Struthio camelus: one gene and its partner. The protein of the gene in region 1 purifies or fractionates together with the protein of each later gene. This does not show direct contact. Links are inferred from orthologs where the notes say so. Each region holds a gene or a part of one and is shown on either strand. Other genes may lie near its edges.

Region 1 (7,891 bases):
TGATGAAATGCACACATTTTCGATGCTTTTCCTTTAACATTTTCCCCTATTGAAAGAGGACTTGATGGATTAGCCAGGTAAATAGGCGTTGCTGTACACGTAGGTAAATACTGTTCTGCTCGGTTAATTGAATATGAGCCTCAGATAAACCCATGTGCTCGGTTTATTTCCTTGAAAAAGACATCCAGGTGAAGATGATGTATTCTGTGTTGTAGACTTGGGTACCTTTTCTGCTGAGCACATTGCAATTTCTAATACTCCAGTCTTCCCAGATTTGTGGAGAGAATTAAAGATAAAGGAGGACAAGAGTCCACCACTGGAAGAGCAGTTCTGGGGGCTGTGAAGCTGACACGTTGGTGAGTCAAAATAGAAATGATTGCATGCACTCTGTAGGGTTGTTGTGCAGAAGATTTTGATTTTCTTCAACTATTTTTTCATTTGTCCTTCCTTTTTCAGTTTTCATCCTCAGGCAGAGCCTGTTTTTATGTCTTCTTTACTTCGACTATGCAAAATGACTGAGACTCTAAAAAAAATAGGAATACAGACTTTTTCTACTGTTTTTAATGGGCTGCCCAAGCAAATTGGAAGCAGAGTAGTGGAGAACTGGGACTGATGTCAGTTCTGTGTTTGATTTAAATTCTGGAAAGACAGTACACAGCATTTCTTGTAGCCGTTTTGCATGTGTGCTTGACAAAGAGTAAAATAGCTTCTTGTCGAGACTTGCTTTATGCTTCCTCATAGATTTTCGGTTTAACTGACAGAAAAATAAAAACCTTTCCAATGTGTCTTCTGGGGGGGGGGGGCGGGGGGAGGTTGAATCTGCTTTTGCCTGTGTTTTTCTTCCTTCCATTTGCTCGGAGGCCCTCAGTTTCCAAGCCCAGGGTGGTTGCGCTGCGTGGGTATGCGTGGTGTGTCAGCTCCTTCTCCTGGAAACTTTCTGGTCAAAGGGAAACAGAATTAACTCAGAGCCATTGCGTGCGTCTTTGCTGGATGGCATTCCTTCTGTCTCCCCTTCAAAGCTTTTTGGCTTGTTCTGGCAGGAAAAGGGGCTCCTGGTGCTGCGTAAGCCTATGGGGCTTTTCAGCTCATACCTTCTGCGGTTCATTTAACCCCACCTTTTTCCTCTTGTGATCACTCTTACGTGTCATTAAGAAGTGCTGCTCTGGATCTCTCTTAGAAGGCCTCTTTTCTCCTCATGTCGTAACCATGTTTGTGGGTGACCAGCGAGATGGTGTGTTCCTGCTGCATCACCCCGAGACCAAACGGTCACAGTAAGGGGCTAGAACTCCCCAGGGCGTCATACCATGCTGTGGGTATTACTGTGCGCTTCTGTATTACAGCAGTGTCTTAGTAATACAGGCCTGAGCCAGGGCCATGGTGCATGTGGGTATACATCTGAAATTGGCTTGTGCCCCACCTGCCCATTTTCAGTGGCTGAAATCATTCTGATGGCAGCTGATATTTTAATTTCGTTAAGTACCAAGTTGTAATTGCTGTTTTTGTACTTGGTTGCTCTATTCACCTGAAGAGAGACAGGTGAAAACTAAGCGGGTTGAGGCTGCGTACATGCAGAAGTGACAATTTGCAGATGTGGTGTCACGGACAAAGTCAGCGTGACAGCCTGAGGTTTCCTTAGTCCAAGAAGACTGCTAACCAAACCCTACCTCTCTGCTTGCCTAGGGCCTGTGGTTGCTAGCTACTGTCCTAGCACAGAGGGTGTCTATTCAAAGCCACAGGAAAAAGACCCGTTTTAAGTAGCTACAGAACTAGGTTTCAGCAACAAAATTGGCTCAGAAATGTGCTGTGAAATAGAGCTCAGCAGTATCAGCTAGACTGGGCTGGGTTTGGAGTTTATTTATGGGGGCTGGCCACGCTGCCACCAGGATAGCACCGTCCTTGCTGTTAAGCCTTATGGCTCAAGCACGGGAAGGTTTGGGGACTGCGCTTGTAGGAAGTGCTTGCCAAGTGTGGTGCAGTAAGGAGCAAAGTCTGAAAGCTGCCTCCAGCTTAGCACGCTGTCCTCTCCTCTGGAGCACTGAATAAACTCTTTGGAGTGAGTCATCCCGTGGATTTACATGAAATCAGAAACTGAGGCCGTTGGGGAAACACTGACAGAACAAAAGTCACGGCAACGTACTGAATTTCTGTCCCCCAAAAGATGCAGGGGAAGAAGATTTTCATACATATTAGGACAGTCGTTAGATTCTAACAGGAAAACTTTGAAAATTGCAACAGGGCAAGACAAAAAGGAAAACAAAATAAAAACAGCTGCATTACTAGTCGCTGTGGGAAGAAGCGCGTGTCTCAGTAGTATTGTGTGTGAATTTGTAGCATTTAAGATCAGAAACAACAACTGTCTTGTCTGCAGGCAACAATCTTGTCTGACTGCCTCTCTACCAGATGGGGTTGCAGTTTGTCCAGATATTTGTAGGTTTTTAAGCACGAAAGCCAGAATGAACTATTATGATCAGCTGGTCTGACATGCTGTGTATGAGAAGCTGTAGGGTTTATATTCTCCTTGAACAAGGGTAGCCTTTGGGAAGACAAAAACCCAGTCTTTAATACAGGTATTTTTATTATGAGGATTCTACTTCACCTTCTGGTGAATTGTTTCACTGGACGGATCTATTGCAGATGTCTATTCTGACATTCAGGTCCTGTCATAACAACACTCTGAGAGGACTCAGGTGACGTCCAAGAAAACATCTCCAGTTCACAAGAATAACTCTCCAATAGTATGAGCCAAGGAACCAGCAAAGTAGCATGTTGCAAAAGTGTGCAAAAAAGGCTGATTCATGTGATAATTAAAAGTTAAAGTGATGGGCTAATTGGGAGCACTTTTTAATAGTGGGAGTGAAAGATGCTAGAGTTTAAATGAAAACATTCAGAGACACTGAACTAATCCTGCCTGTAGCTATAGGCATATGTAAGCCCGAAAGGGAGTTTTTACGCAGATCCAGAGCATAACTGGAAAGGATGCAGCGAGCACCAAGTAAAATGGGAACACAGAAGAATACAGAGAAAAATACACTAATTTTTCAAAAAATAAATACATCTATACAAAGAGAAGATGTGTGTGCTACAGAGAGAGATATTTTGGAGTGCTTTGTGTATGTGGGATCATACGTAGTGAGAACACCAAATAAAAGAAAATGGGCTTTCCTAGAGCTAATAGGGAGGAGAAACTCTAAAGAAACAGTATATATCACTGTGAAAGAAGCAAACAGTGGCTCAGAGGATAAGATTCTTGCATATATTTAATTAAAATAGAGGAAAAAGAGAAATTAAGGAAGGCAACGTGAGCAATGTGGACTCTGTGGATACACCGGGTCACTGAGGATTTCCCAGCACTATGCTGACAAAAGATCACAGAATCACAGAATCACAGAATCGTTTAGGTTGGAAGGGACCTCTGGAGATCATCTAGTCCAACCTCCCTGCTCAAGCAGGGTCCTCTAGAGCATATTGCCCAGGATCACATCCAGACGGGTTTTCAATATCTCCAGGGAAGGAGACTCCACAACCTCCCTGGGCAACCTGTTCCAATGCTCTGTCACCCTCACAGTGAAGAAGTTTTTTCTCAGGTTTAGGTGGAACTTCCCGTGGTTCAGTTTCTGCCCGTTGCCTCTTGTCCCGTTGCTGGGCACCACGGAGAAGAGGCTGGCCTCATCCTCTTGACACTCCCCCTTCAGATACTTGTACACATTGATGAGATCGCCTCTCAATCTTCTCTTCTCCAGGCTGAACAGGCCCAGCTCTTGCAGTCTTTCTTCATAGGAGAGGGGCTCCAGTCCTCTAATCATCTTTGTAGCCCTCCACTGGACTCTCTCCAGGAGTGCCATGTCTCTCTTGTACTGGGGAGCCCAGAACTGGACACAGTACTCCAGGTGAGGCCTCACCAGGGCTGAGTAGAGGGGCAGGATCACCTCCCTCGACCTGCTGGCAACACTCTGCTTAATGCACCCCAGGAGACCATTGGCCTTCTTGGCCACAAGGGCACACTGCTGGCTCATGCTTAACTTGTTGTCCACCAGCACTCCCAGGTCCTTCTCGGCAGAGCTACTTTCCAGCAGGTCAACCCCCAGCCTGGACTGGTGCAGGGGGTTATTCCTGCCTAGGTGCAGGACCTTGCACTTGCCTTTGTTGAACTTCAGGAGGTTCCTCTCCGCCCAGCTCTCCAGCCTGTCCAGGTCCCCCTGAATGGCAGCACAGTCTTCTGGTGTGTCAGCCTCTCCTCCCAGTTTCGTATCATCAGCAAACTTGCTGAGGGTGCACTCTGTCCCTTCCTCCAGGTCATTGATGAATATATTGAACAAGACCGGACCCAGCATATTTAAGCCAAGCAAAGCCAAGCAAAGTGCTGGGGCGCGAGGGGTAGGAGCGGTCTGACTTAGCGCAGTAAGTACTCCTCGAGCAGGGGGAAAAAAGAGCTGCAAAGCCAAGGGAAAAGAAAGCGCGGTTGCTTCCGCCCTTGGGCCTGACCAAGCGGGGTGGGAGCTGCGTCGTGGGCTCGCGCCGACCCAGATATTTAAGCCAAGCAAAGCCTATTTATAATTATACAATTAATAGCATACTCCTATCTCCCATTCAGAACCTACTTTACGAATAAGACATTGGGAACAAACAGCCAGGAATGTCAACTCAAAAATCATTGGTTTTAATTTAAGCAAGGGTACACGTGAGTCTAGAGATACAGAACATGGCACAAATGATTCACAGAGCAGGCACATGAGCAGAACAAAAATATGTCCAGAACAGATAACGAACTTGTATTAAAACTGAAAAAAAAAAAAACCCAACCATATACAGTGTTGTTAGCTGCAACCTGCCTGTCTAGCCCTGAAACGAGGAAAAGACTTGTTGCAGGGTGGCAGGCCCCTTACAGAGGCATAAAGCCCTCCTCGCCTCAGACTAATCAGTCATCGGATGAGCTGAATCGTGATAAAAAACACCAGCCAGCGGCTCATTTAGCGAGAAGGGTGCTGGCAATTTTTTGACCAAAGAGGGGAGGAAGGAGCGGGGAGTAGCAGGAAGCAAGCAGCTTGGCTCCCACGGCAGCCCTCGGCGGGAAGTAAGTCCCAAGACCAGCGCCAAAGGGAGCCAGCCGTAAGAAAGCAAGACGCCACGAGAAGATGTAGAGGCGGAAGGGCTAGTTGATACGTGGAAGCTGTTTGTTGCGAAGAAATAAAACCGGTGACCAGAGAAACAGGAACAGCAGCGCGGGCAGCGACAGCGCTGCTGGGGCGCGAGGGGTAGGAGCGGTCTGACTTAGCGCAGTAAGTACTCCTCGAGCAGGGGGAAAAAAGAGCTGCAAAGCCAAGGGAAAAGAAAGCGCGGTTGCTTCCGCCCTTGGGCCTGACCGAGCGGGGTGGGAGCTGCGTCGTGGGCTCCTGCCGAGCTGGGGAGTTTAAACGCAGCCCTGGGAGGGGCTCCCAAGCCGGCTCGCGCTGGGGAGTTAGTCTGGGTTTGAGAAACGCTAAAGCGGCGTCAGGGCTTGCCCAGCGGGGGCAGGTTCTTGCGAGAGAGGCACGCAGCTGCCCGGCGCTCGGCCTGTTTGGGATCCCGCCTGGGATCTCAGCTCTGCCGGGAGAGGCTCGGTGCCGGTGGCGGGACGCGCTGAGCAGACGCTCTGGGACGAGCGCGATAGCCGCAGCCGGCTAACGTGCTTCTGGAAGGGGAAGACGACAAATGTAGAAGGCATCAGATGAAGTTGAGACAGGCTGTAGAGCTGCATGGGGGCATCTGCTGCTCTCTGGTGGGCCTCGGCTCCCAGGGTGAGAGCATCGTGATGCCCGCAGCTGGAGACCAAATCAGCGGGTGTTTCCCCGCCTTAGGAGATGTTTGCAAGCTCCTATCAGATACATCTGAGGTGCCAGAGGAACGTGGACGCAACCCTGTTCCCGAGAGGCGTGCGGTGGCGGTGCCACGCGCCGAGGGGTGGCCACGCGGCCCGGTACCCGGCCCAGCACATGGCCCCTGCGAAGGGGCAGGGGCACAAAGCCCTCCGCTGTCAGCGGCTAAAGACTTTTCAGAACTATGTAAGGTCATCTGTTTCCTTGAGGAAACTCCTGCATCGCCAAGTAAGCTGCACAGAGGTGGTTTAAGATTTTTTTTTTTTTAAATAGATGTTATTCCCACGAGGCAGCAATAGGCCCAGGCCTCTGAAGTCCATCCTGCGCTGTGGGACAGTTATGGTGCAGGTTGACTCACAGGAACAGATTATTGACATTGTCAGAAAAAAATGCTGCATAGCGATGCCTGCCGCAGGGTCGACTCAGCCCTTTCAGCGCCCCGCTGCCGGAAGATGCCCGTTAGGAGTTTATACAAGACGTCGCTCCTCTCTCAGGGTTTTGAATGGCCGTCCTTAGTTGTTGACAAGCTCGGAGTTGGCAAAATGGACTCTTCTTTCTTTTCTGTAAGCATAATAGATATAAATGTACTATGGTAAAGAGTCAAAGGAATATAATCATTTGTTACATGAGTAGACTTGTTTAATTTTGGTCTCAGACAGCAGTGACAAAGGGATGCTGCAGTGAATGCCTCGCGGCAATAGAGATTGAATAGAGCGACGAAATTAGATCCTGTTTTGGAAAGGGGAGAGGGAGGGAGGCTTTGTGAATGAAGAGCAAATCTGAAAGGTGCTGCTTCTTGCCTCTCTTTATGCTCAGGTATCAATATGGGGAATTACGGTGGAAGCTGCAGCTGGAGAGGGCACTAGGGGTCACCACCGCCTTATCTATGTCATCTGGATTTAATTCTAAAGTAGGATAAATAACATGATAGAAGCCAAAGGTAGGCTACTCTCAATTTTTGTGGGCTAGATAGCTTGCATTTCCATTCTTCTTTTTTGCTTTTATTTTTTTTCCCTGCCTGCCTGCCTGTTCTCTGTCTCTCCCTTAAAGCAGACCATATCAATTTCTGTAGGATGCAGCCCAGGGGATGCTGTAGAAGCAGGGTCGTTGCCTCAAAATTCCCTCTGTGCAGATCCCATTTATTTAGAGCAAAGGTTAGGCAAATCGCAAACGCGAAGCAAGTCGGACAGAATCACAGCAGCCTTGGCATGTTTCTGCAAGTACTGCAGAGCAAACCGATTGCTGTAATGAATAGCACGCTTGTAGTCACTAGAATAACTCCTGATACGCACTGCTGTGCCTGGCCAATAATCCCATGTCTGTGAATTTTTCTCTTCTCCTTTTTCCCCAACTAGATAAGCAGCCCTGACTTCTCTTAAAATATCTGCTTTAAAAGGAGGATTGGGTGTCTGGGTTGTGAAGAGGACCTGAAATCCTCTTCTCTGGGACTTTTTTTGACCTCAGGTCTAGGGAGGAACCATTGGTATGGGCTGAATCTGTTGCCTGATTTTTTAAATAGTGCATTTTAAAAGTGGGATGCAAGGCGTCTAGGGAGCAAGAGGTTTCCCCCTCCTCCTCGCCCCCAAGGCAGGTGATTTGTCTAGAGGCAAATAGATAAGTTTTCAGACATACAAGACCTGAAGAAGAGGCGGCACCCCCTGGCAGCCTGTCTTTTTTTCAGCTGTACTAGTTGATCTTATGAAATACAGCTTCCTCCTTCTCCTCAGAGGTATGTTAAACGGTGGAATTTCTTGCTGCATGATGTTACAGATGATGACAGTTCATGTGACCTCAAAACCTGACTGGACGAATTAATGAACGAAATAGCTGTCAGGGGCAAAGATAACGCTTCTGGCTTGGAAAGTCCCTTATCTGCAAATTGCCAGAGACAGAGAGAGTACCAAAGAGGTTTCACCATAGCCATGCCTTGTTTATACACGCTTTGCTAAGCAGCTGTTATAAACCAGTTCTTGGGATGGCACACTGGGAGCAGATAGATGTTCAGTCTAACGTGATGTATCTACTCTTACAGTCTCCTG
Region 2 (7,854 bases), on another chromosome or scaffold:
TCTCACCTCCACAAGACAACTCAGGGTTGCTCTGGCAGTGTCTCCCATGGGGTGGAGGTAGGATGAAGCAAAGGAATATGTTTTGGCATTGCTGCACATGGGGCTAAGCCTGGCTGGGAGACCAGCCCCAGCTCGGCTCACCCCACAGGACCTTCATGGAAGGTGAGGGTTGCCCATCCAACTCAGTTGCATCAACTCAGTCTTCCTTATTTAGTTACTATTGGGCCCAAGTTGAGTTGGCCCATCAGTTCACACCTCAGAAGGGTTCCCACCACTCCCTGAAGGGCTGCATGTTCCCCATGGACAAAGAACTAACATCTAGTCCAGAAACCTGCTGTTAAAATGAGGCCTGTGACCTCCCCAAATGGTTGTGGCTCTTCCTTCCTTTGCCCCTCGAAGCCTTAGGTAACCCCATAGTAGCTCAAAATTATCCAGGTTGCAGGAGCTAATATCTTGTCCAGAAGGACACAATATCTTTGTAACAAGGAAAGGAAGCTGAGACTTTAGAGGATCCTAGGAAGACCAGACAGCTCTAAGGAGCTGACCCTACCAAATACCTTGTGCTGTGGGCAATTGCGTGGTCCTGCCATGTTTCTGATTTGGGAGACCTGGAGGCACCAGTGGGACACAGCTGGCACCACGGACAACAGTGCTCGTCCCCATCTCCATCCCATGTGGTGGTCCACAGATCTGGCCCCGCGGACGCGGCAGCTGGCGCAGGTCTCCAGCTGCAGCACGTTAGGTCTGGCACTAAAATTAAGCTGAGGATTAAACCCAAAACTGGGAAGGGCGGACGGAGAGACCATCTGCGGCATGACCCCACGCTGCTATCTGGTCTAGAGGCTCTGCTGCTCAATTCCCACCGCCGGTCCTGGACGCTGGGTGAAATAACGACACTAATGCACCCTCCTAAAAACCATCCGCTAAAACCAGGAGGCTTGGCTGCTTCCGAAGGAAGGGAAAGGAGGACAGCGGCCCTCGGTGAAGATCCCCCAGATGTACTCAGGAACGCATTGCTACCGGCGCTGCAAGCACCCGAATCCAGATTTACTCGGCGCCAGCCACGTGGAGACGTCACGGTCAGTGAATACTTCTTAGCTACCGCCAGGTGACTTTCTGGGCCAGGCCAAGCGGGTTGCGACGTGGTCTCCACCTAGCCAGAATGTGTTTTCCAACCCAGGCGCTGAGGACATGAAGGCAACTCCTCGACGGTCACCCCGGGAGGGGCCCCATTGCATGCACCATGGGAGCTCCTTCCAGAGGTGGCAGCAGCAGCGCCAAAAATTTAGCGATACCTACCTTAGGCGCAGCTCTTCACACCAGCCCTGCGCTTCGCTGAGTGACTCAGTGGAGCTATTTCCAAATTAAGGAGAAAAAAAGCGAGGCGGAGAGAGCTGAAGTAATTTCCCTGCCATCCCCAGGGAGCCGGCGTCACCGATGGAAGGGCAATTTGCTGTCTTGGCTCTCCGTGCTTCGGTCCTACATCTGAGATGCTCTCAAAAAACAGCCTTTCGGGAATTCTGGCTGCACGCGTCCCTCTGCACCCAAAGTCGGCTTTTCTCGGAGAAACCGTGGCAAAACCCAAAGCTCTGGCTGTTTGCAGGGCTGCAGGAGACGGGACCCAGCTGGCTTTCCACTCACCTCCAGCATTTTTGCTCCCACCTGGGCCTTCAGCTCCACTTCACTGATGGAGCTGGAGCAAGCTCCTGCTGCAAAATTATGATTTTGCTGCATAATTTTGCTGCAGGTAGCGTTTAGCTTGCTTTTCTCCCCAAACCCACCCGCCTTTTGCTAGCAGGATGGTAAAACATGAGCACCAGGTCTAGATCTCTTAGCCCAACAGGTGACTCCAAGACCCCGAATCCAAGCCGTAGTCGCTATTTTTTCGGTGGGAAAGGTAGCCAATAGCTGGTGGCGGGGGTGATTTTGCAGCTCCTGCCAGCAATCGCCGTCCTCACCAGCATGTGACAAGCTCGAAGGTGAGAAACCCTCGACCCAAAGCGGCCAACGGGGGCCTTAGGTGCCGCCACGGCCGAGAGCAGAGCAGTGAACGACCCTCGCCCGTGGGCACCCGCCCCAGTGTCACCCCCAAACCCCAGGCTTTGCACTTGAAGCCGCTTCTGTCCCTAAAATCCTTCGGAGCTCAAGCAAATCCAGCCTAAGGGGATTTCTTTTTCTTCTTCTTCTCTAGGGCAGGCGGGAAAGGAAAAGCGTTTCGCAAGCGAGCCTTCGCGGATATTTTTACAACCTCAGAAAATCGCCTTGGACAAACACGATTTATTTATTGTTTTATTTTTTGCAAAAGCCAGCGAGAACAGGGTGTAGCCATGCTGGAGGATTCGTCACCCGAGGCGAGGAAAACCCGTCCCGCTCCGAAAAGGCCGCGCCAGGAAAGCAGACGAGGCTGCTGCTCTGCCGCTAGCACCCGGCGGGCAAGCGGAGGTTCCTTTTTCCCCGGCGTCCCCACTCCGAAACGGGCAGAAAAAAAGAAAGGAAAGGAACAGGTCTGCTCAGCCCCGCTGCAAAAAGAGGCCTTTTTCTTCCCAGAAATGAGTCACCGGGCAAAGTCTGCATCTTGCATCATGACTCAGAGCGCCGAGGCCACATTTCTCTTTTGCCCAAACCCCTCAACGTGTTTGCAACGTTTTGGGACCTCTCCAGGCTCTTTGTGCACCTTTGGGGAGACCTAACGTATCATAGGTGCTTCCTTAAGTGAAATAATCGTCGTATTAAATCCTACCTGCTTGTACAGAGTGAGCTTTGCTGCCCCAAGGCGGCGGGGGACAAGCGCCGGCTCCGGTCCGGGTTCCCTCCTGCCATCTCTGCCACCGCTCTCGTGCGTGACCTAGTTTTTTTAGGAAAAGAGGCTTTTGAGCTCATGCCCGTCTGTCTTCCCTCATCCCTTTATAATGTTTTCAGCTGCCGGGCAATTTCAGCCACCTTTGACAGCGGGACGGAGGATTTTGAGGTATTAATTTCCTATGAGCATCGGGGGGGAAAAGGGGGGCAGAAAGAAGGAGTTTTCATTGCTTCCTGCTGCTTTCAAATTTCTGCTGCGCTTTAGAGGAGGAAGTATTTCGTGCCCAGGCCGGGGCAAGAAAGACAAAAGTGGTATTTCCGGCTCAGAGGGGAAACCGAGGCGCCCCAGGTGCCTGCGAAAGGCCAGAGCCAGCGCTTGGGACATCCCACCAGCTATCTTTTTGCCTTTTTCCTCCCTGCAGTCCTGCTTTAGTTTGGATAAAACAGCCTGTAGATTCCCCCTCGGGGATTTCAGACAGCTCACGGCCCTGCAAAGCGGGTCCTGCGTGTCGCAAGCCCGTACGCTCAATGCACTCTCCTTGCAGGGGGTTGCATCGTCGGCACGCTTTAAACCTTGTAACGTCCGTGTGCTATTCCACCATCCCGCAATGTGGTATTATTAGGCAATGCTGCATGGTGCATGCGCCCCCAAGGAGCCGGCCTCGGGGCAATGCTGCATGGTGCATGCGCCCCCAAGGAGCCGGCCTCGGGGCAATGCTGCATGGTGCATGCGCCCCCAAGGAGCCGTCCACGGGGCAATGCTGCATGCGCCCCCAAGGAGCCGGCCTCGGGGCAATGCTGCATGGTGCACGCGCCCCCAAGGAGCCGGCCTCGGGACAATGCTGCATGGTGCATGTGCCTCCAAAGAGCCGGCCTCGGGGCAATGCTACATGGTGCACGCACCCCCAAGGAGCCGGCCTCGGGGCAACGCTGCATGGTGCATGCGCCCCCAAGGAGCCGGACTCGGGGCAATGCTGCATGGTGCATGCGCCCCCAAGGAGCCGGCCTCGGGGCAACGCTGCATGGTGCATGCGTCCCCAAATAGCCGGCCTCGGGGCAATGCTGCATGGTGCATGCGCCCCCAAGGAGCCGGCCTCGGGGCAATGCTGCATGGTGCATGCATCCCCAAGGAGCCGGCCTCGGGGCAACGCTGCATGGTGCACGCGCCCCCAAGGAGCCGGCCTCGGGGCAATGCTGCATGGTGCATGCGCCCCCAAGGAGCCGGCCTCGGGGCAACGCTGCATGGTGCATGCGTCCCCAAAGAGCCGGCCTCGGGGCAATGCTGCATGGTGCATGCGCCCCCAAAGAGCCGGCCTCGGGGCAACGCTGCATGGTGCATGCGTCCCCAAATAGCCGGCCTCGGGGCAATGCTGCATGGTGCACGCGCCCCCAAGGAGCCGTCCACGGGGCAACGCTGCATGGTGCATGCGCCCCCAAGGAGCCGGCCTCGGGGCAATGCTGCATGGTGCACGCGCCCCCAAGGAGCCGGCCTCGGGGCAATGCTGCATGGTGCATGCGCCCCCAAGGAGCCGGCCTCGGGGCAATGCTGCATGGTGCATGCGCCCCCAAAGAGCCGGCCTCGGGGCAACGCTGCATGGTGCATGCGCCCCCAAGGAGCCGGCCTCGGGGCAACGCTGCATGGTGCATGCGTCCCCAAGGAGCCGTCCACGGGGCAATGCTGCATGGTGCATGCGCCCCCAAGGAGCCGGCCTCGGGGCAACGCTGCATGGTGCACGCGCCCCCAAGGAGCCGGCCTCGGGGCAACGCTGCATGGTGCATGCGTCCCCAAGGAGCCGTCCACGGGGCAATGCTGCATGGTGCATGCACGCCAGGCCCCGCGGCAGGGAGAAGGTGGGGGGAAGAGGAGGAGGAGGAGGAGGAGGAGGAGGAGGAGGAGGAGGAGGAAAAGCTCCCACGCGCACAGCCCTCGCGCCGCCCCGCGCCCGCGCTCCCACGCGCCAACCCCGCCCCACCCGCGGGGGTGGGGTGGGCAAGAGGAGAGGGAGGGGCGTGGCCTCCCGCCCGGCCCCGCCCCTTTGCAGCGCCGCCGCCGCAGGCGGAGCCCCGCCCCCTCGGCGGCCGGCCCCGCCTCCCGCTGCCCTCCTCGGTTACCCGTGGTGCCGCGCGCGGGGCTGGCACTGACGTGGCCGCCGAGCGCCGCCATCTTGTGTGCTTGGGCGGAGAGAGGCTGAGCGGCGGCAGGGGGGGAAGCCGGCTCCGAGCGGGACTGCCCGAGCACAGCCAGACCCACTGCCCGGGGCAGCAGCAGCAGCCGACGCCGGTAAGTCACCGCTGCCGCCCTCCTTTCAACCTACGGTCCTTTCTCCGAGGTCCGCGGCGGGTTGTGAGGCGCTGAGGCGGCGGCGAGGCCTTGCGGGCCCGGCCGCTTCCAGCCCCGCGCTTGGCTGGCGGCGGGAGGAGGGAGCCGCCGCCGCAGCCAGGCCGCAGTGCAGGCAGCGGGGAGCCGCCGGCCCAGCCCGGGGGGTGGAGAAGGGAGGGAAAAGGCGGAGGGGGAGGGGGTGAGGAAGGGCTGCAGCTCTGCGCCAGGCCCCGCGTCGCTCCCCCTGCCGGAGGGATTAGACGGGATGCGGCGAGATGGGCCTTCCTTCCCCGGCCGCCCCAAACTCCCTCGTTCCGGCCTGCCCCGCCCGAGAGCGGCGAGAGTTTTCCTGCGCTTCCTCCCCCCGACAAGGCTCCTGGTAGCCGAGCTCGCAGCTCCCCATGGCCTGGTAGGGTGAGGTGAGGCTCGGGCGAGACTCCGAAGAGCGGTTATTTGCTTGGTAAATCTTTAGCTGCTGAGTCGAGCTTCGTGCAGGGCTGGGAGGGTGAAGGTAAGTTGGGTTTTTTTTTTTTTTGTTTAAGCCTGGAGCAAACTCTGTTTTAGGTGCATTGCTTGGGTTTGGTGATCCTGAAGGTCAGTTTTCCTTGGCATAGCAGATCCCAATGGAAGGATATTATACTGCAGCTGAAAGTACTATGTCTTGTCTCTGTGAGCAATTAATGTGATACTTGGTGGGCCGATATCCCCTTTCTATTAGAGTGATAGGCTAGCTATGCAAACCTCTTCACGGAAAAAGCTGTTTGCCCCGATCAAACATAACTAAAACTCTCTCGGGTCATAAAGCTGCCTAAATGTTGTTTTTGACATTGACCTTGTTGCTCTGCTGCTAGGTCCCTGCCAAACCAAATTCCACCAGTTGATTAGAGTTGTATCCAGAGTCTTGTTTTGAAACGTAGTTTTGTCAATAGCTAAAATGTGAACTATTTATATAACATTTTGAACTTTGTTTTGTAAGTGATAAGTCTTGCAGCACCCCTATGAAGAATATTCTGCTAACCTTATTTTTCAGGCAGAGAAATCAAGTTGAAGTGAATTGTCCAAGGTCATTTGGCAATACATTTATAATTACTTTTACTACTAATTTGAAGAACTTTGCGGGGGGAGGGGGAGAGCCCTTTCCAGCTGAACTGAGGATTGCTTCCTGGCTTTTCTTTATGGAATTTGTAATGAAATTGTCAGTGTAAGTACTCATAGTCTTACAGCTGTAGCAAGCAAGGGATTCTCTCAAACCGAGGTTTAGGAGGCTGGTATGACACCACTTATTTCCTCTGTTAAAAACACAGGTTGTCTGCAGTGCTGAGAACCCTGTTGGACTACTTTCTCTATTGTGCTAATTATACTGGGTGAAAGGGTGAGGAAACCTACCTCACTTGAACCTCTTAAACTCTTTGTTTGCCAAGTTTACTGACCCTTCTACTGTGCCAGAGCATCAGGAGTAAAAATGGCTCAAGCAGGTGTCACTTCCAGTCTGAACAGCCCTTAATGCTCTAATAGTTTGGTGTACGTAATAATTATCGGACCATACCTTAAGAACCTGGAATAAGGTTAGAATGCAAGTGTGCGAATGCAGTGTCCCGAGTGTAAATTGGTCCTTGCTATGGGTTTGCCAAATGTTGGAGTTTGTCTGGTTGTGAAATAAAACCCAAATCTGAAAAGGGACTGGGCAAAAGCGATGCATTCTTGACCAGTGCACGCAATTCCTTGTGTGCATTAGTCATGCTTGCTCAGTGAGGGGCAGGACTAGTTACAGTTGTTTCAAGGCAAACAGAGTGGGCGGGAGGAGGTAAAGGGTTGGATTTTGGTCCTTCTTCTAACTGACCGAACTGTATTGTGCTCCAGTTTCAGCTGACTCAAAAACCTGCTTGCAGTAATAGCGTTCGTACATCTCACTGAGGCACAGTTATCACATTAGTTATTGGTTACATTAATTGATGAGAGAAGGAGAAGCTCACAATAGAGGCTTCCAGCTGAATTTGTAGGGTTGAAATCAAAGCACCTTGTTTTAAGAGCAAAAGGTCAGTTTAGAGAAACTGCTGAGATGTGCAAAGATGGCCTTTAAAGCTAGGATTCTTACAGATTTCAACAGCCTTCACGAGGCCTTTTAATATCTTGAGTTCCTTGCAGTGGATAAACTTTGTGAACATAAGTTAGTAACTTTTTCTTAACAGAAATAGTTTTGCTTTTAGCGATCTGTTGAAAGTTTTGCTACTGGAATGCGGTAGAGCTTGTGTTACACCTAGCACGGTTCTCTGCCGTCGTTCCCTTTCTTTAACTGATGAGTAAAGAAGTTTAGAACCAGCTTCCTACTACAACAGTGCTTTTTTTTCTGTGTTGCTCAGCACTTTTTTCTTTCTGCTTGCAAGTATCCAATTTTATTTCTTGTTTCTAGCCCATGCAAATATTGAAGGACTGTGGCTCTACTTTTGCTGATGTTGGGGTTCTAATAAGACTCCTAGGTGTAATGAAGCCCTTATTCATATACTGATTATCTAATACACAGTAACTAGCTAGTTGCAGGTTCTGTTTTAACACTTTCCCTAAACCAGAAAACAATTTTATTACTGAAGCTCTTGTGCAAGTTCTTCCTGTTTCTAAGAGTGTAAATGTTGGTTTACTCTCCAGTTAGTAGGAATGAATAACAGGTTATTTGGCTTAAAATTTAAGTTTTTAAAAGTTGTAAATAGTTTGGCCTCATAAACCTTACAGGGCTTGTC

The links.
Region 2: the proteins of PLD1 (region 1) and ARF1 purify together in Homo sapiens (affinity purification with western blotting; 3 studies listed by BioGRID, with this or other methods). This does not show direct contact. The link is inferred for Struthio camelus from reciprocal best matches to the Homo sapiens genes PLD1 and ARF1.

What each region holds. Positions count from the first base shown.
Region 1 is NC_090950.1:27,440,134-27,448,024, forward strand, and holds the start of PLD1 (phospholipase D1), read left to right. Parts: upstream 1-4,889; 5' UTR 4,890-5,276; intron 5,277-6,668; exon of another isoform or gene 6,669-6,792; intron 6,793-7,891. UniProt on the Homo sapiens protein: Function as phospholipase selective for phosphatidylcholine. Implicated as a critical step in numerous cellular pathways, including signal transduction, membrane trafficking, and the regulation of mitosis.
Region 2 is NC_090943.1:3,582,011-3,589,864, forward strand, and holds the start of ARF1 (ADP-ribosylation factor 1), read left to right. Parts: upstream 1-4,842; 5' UTR 4,843-5,080; exon of another isoform or gene 5,081-5,630; intron 5,631-7,854. UniProt on the Homo sapiens protein: Small GTPase involved in protein trafficking between different compartments. Modulates vesicle budding and uncoating within the Golgi complex. In its GTP-bound form, triggers the recruitment of coatomer proteins to the Golgi membrane.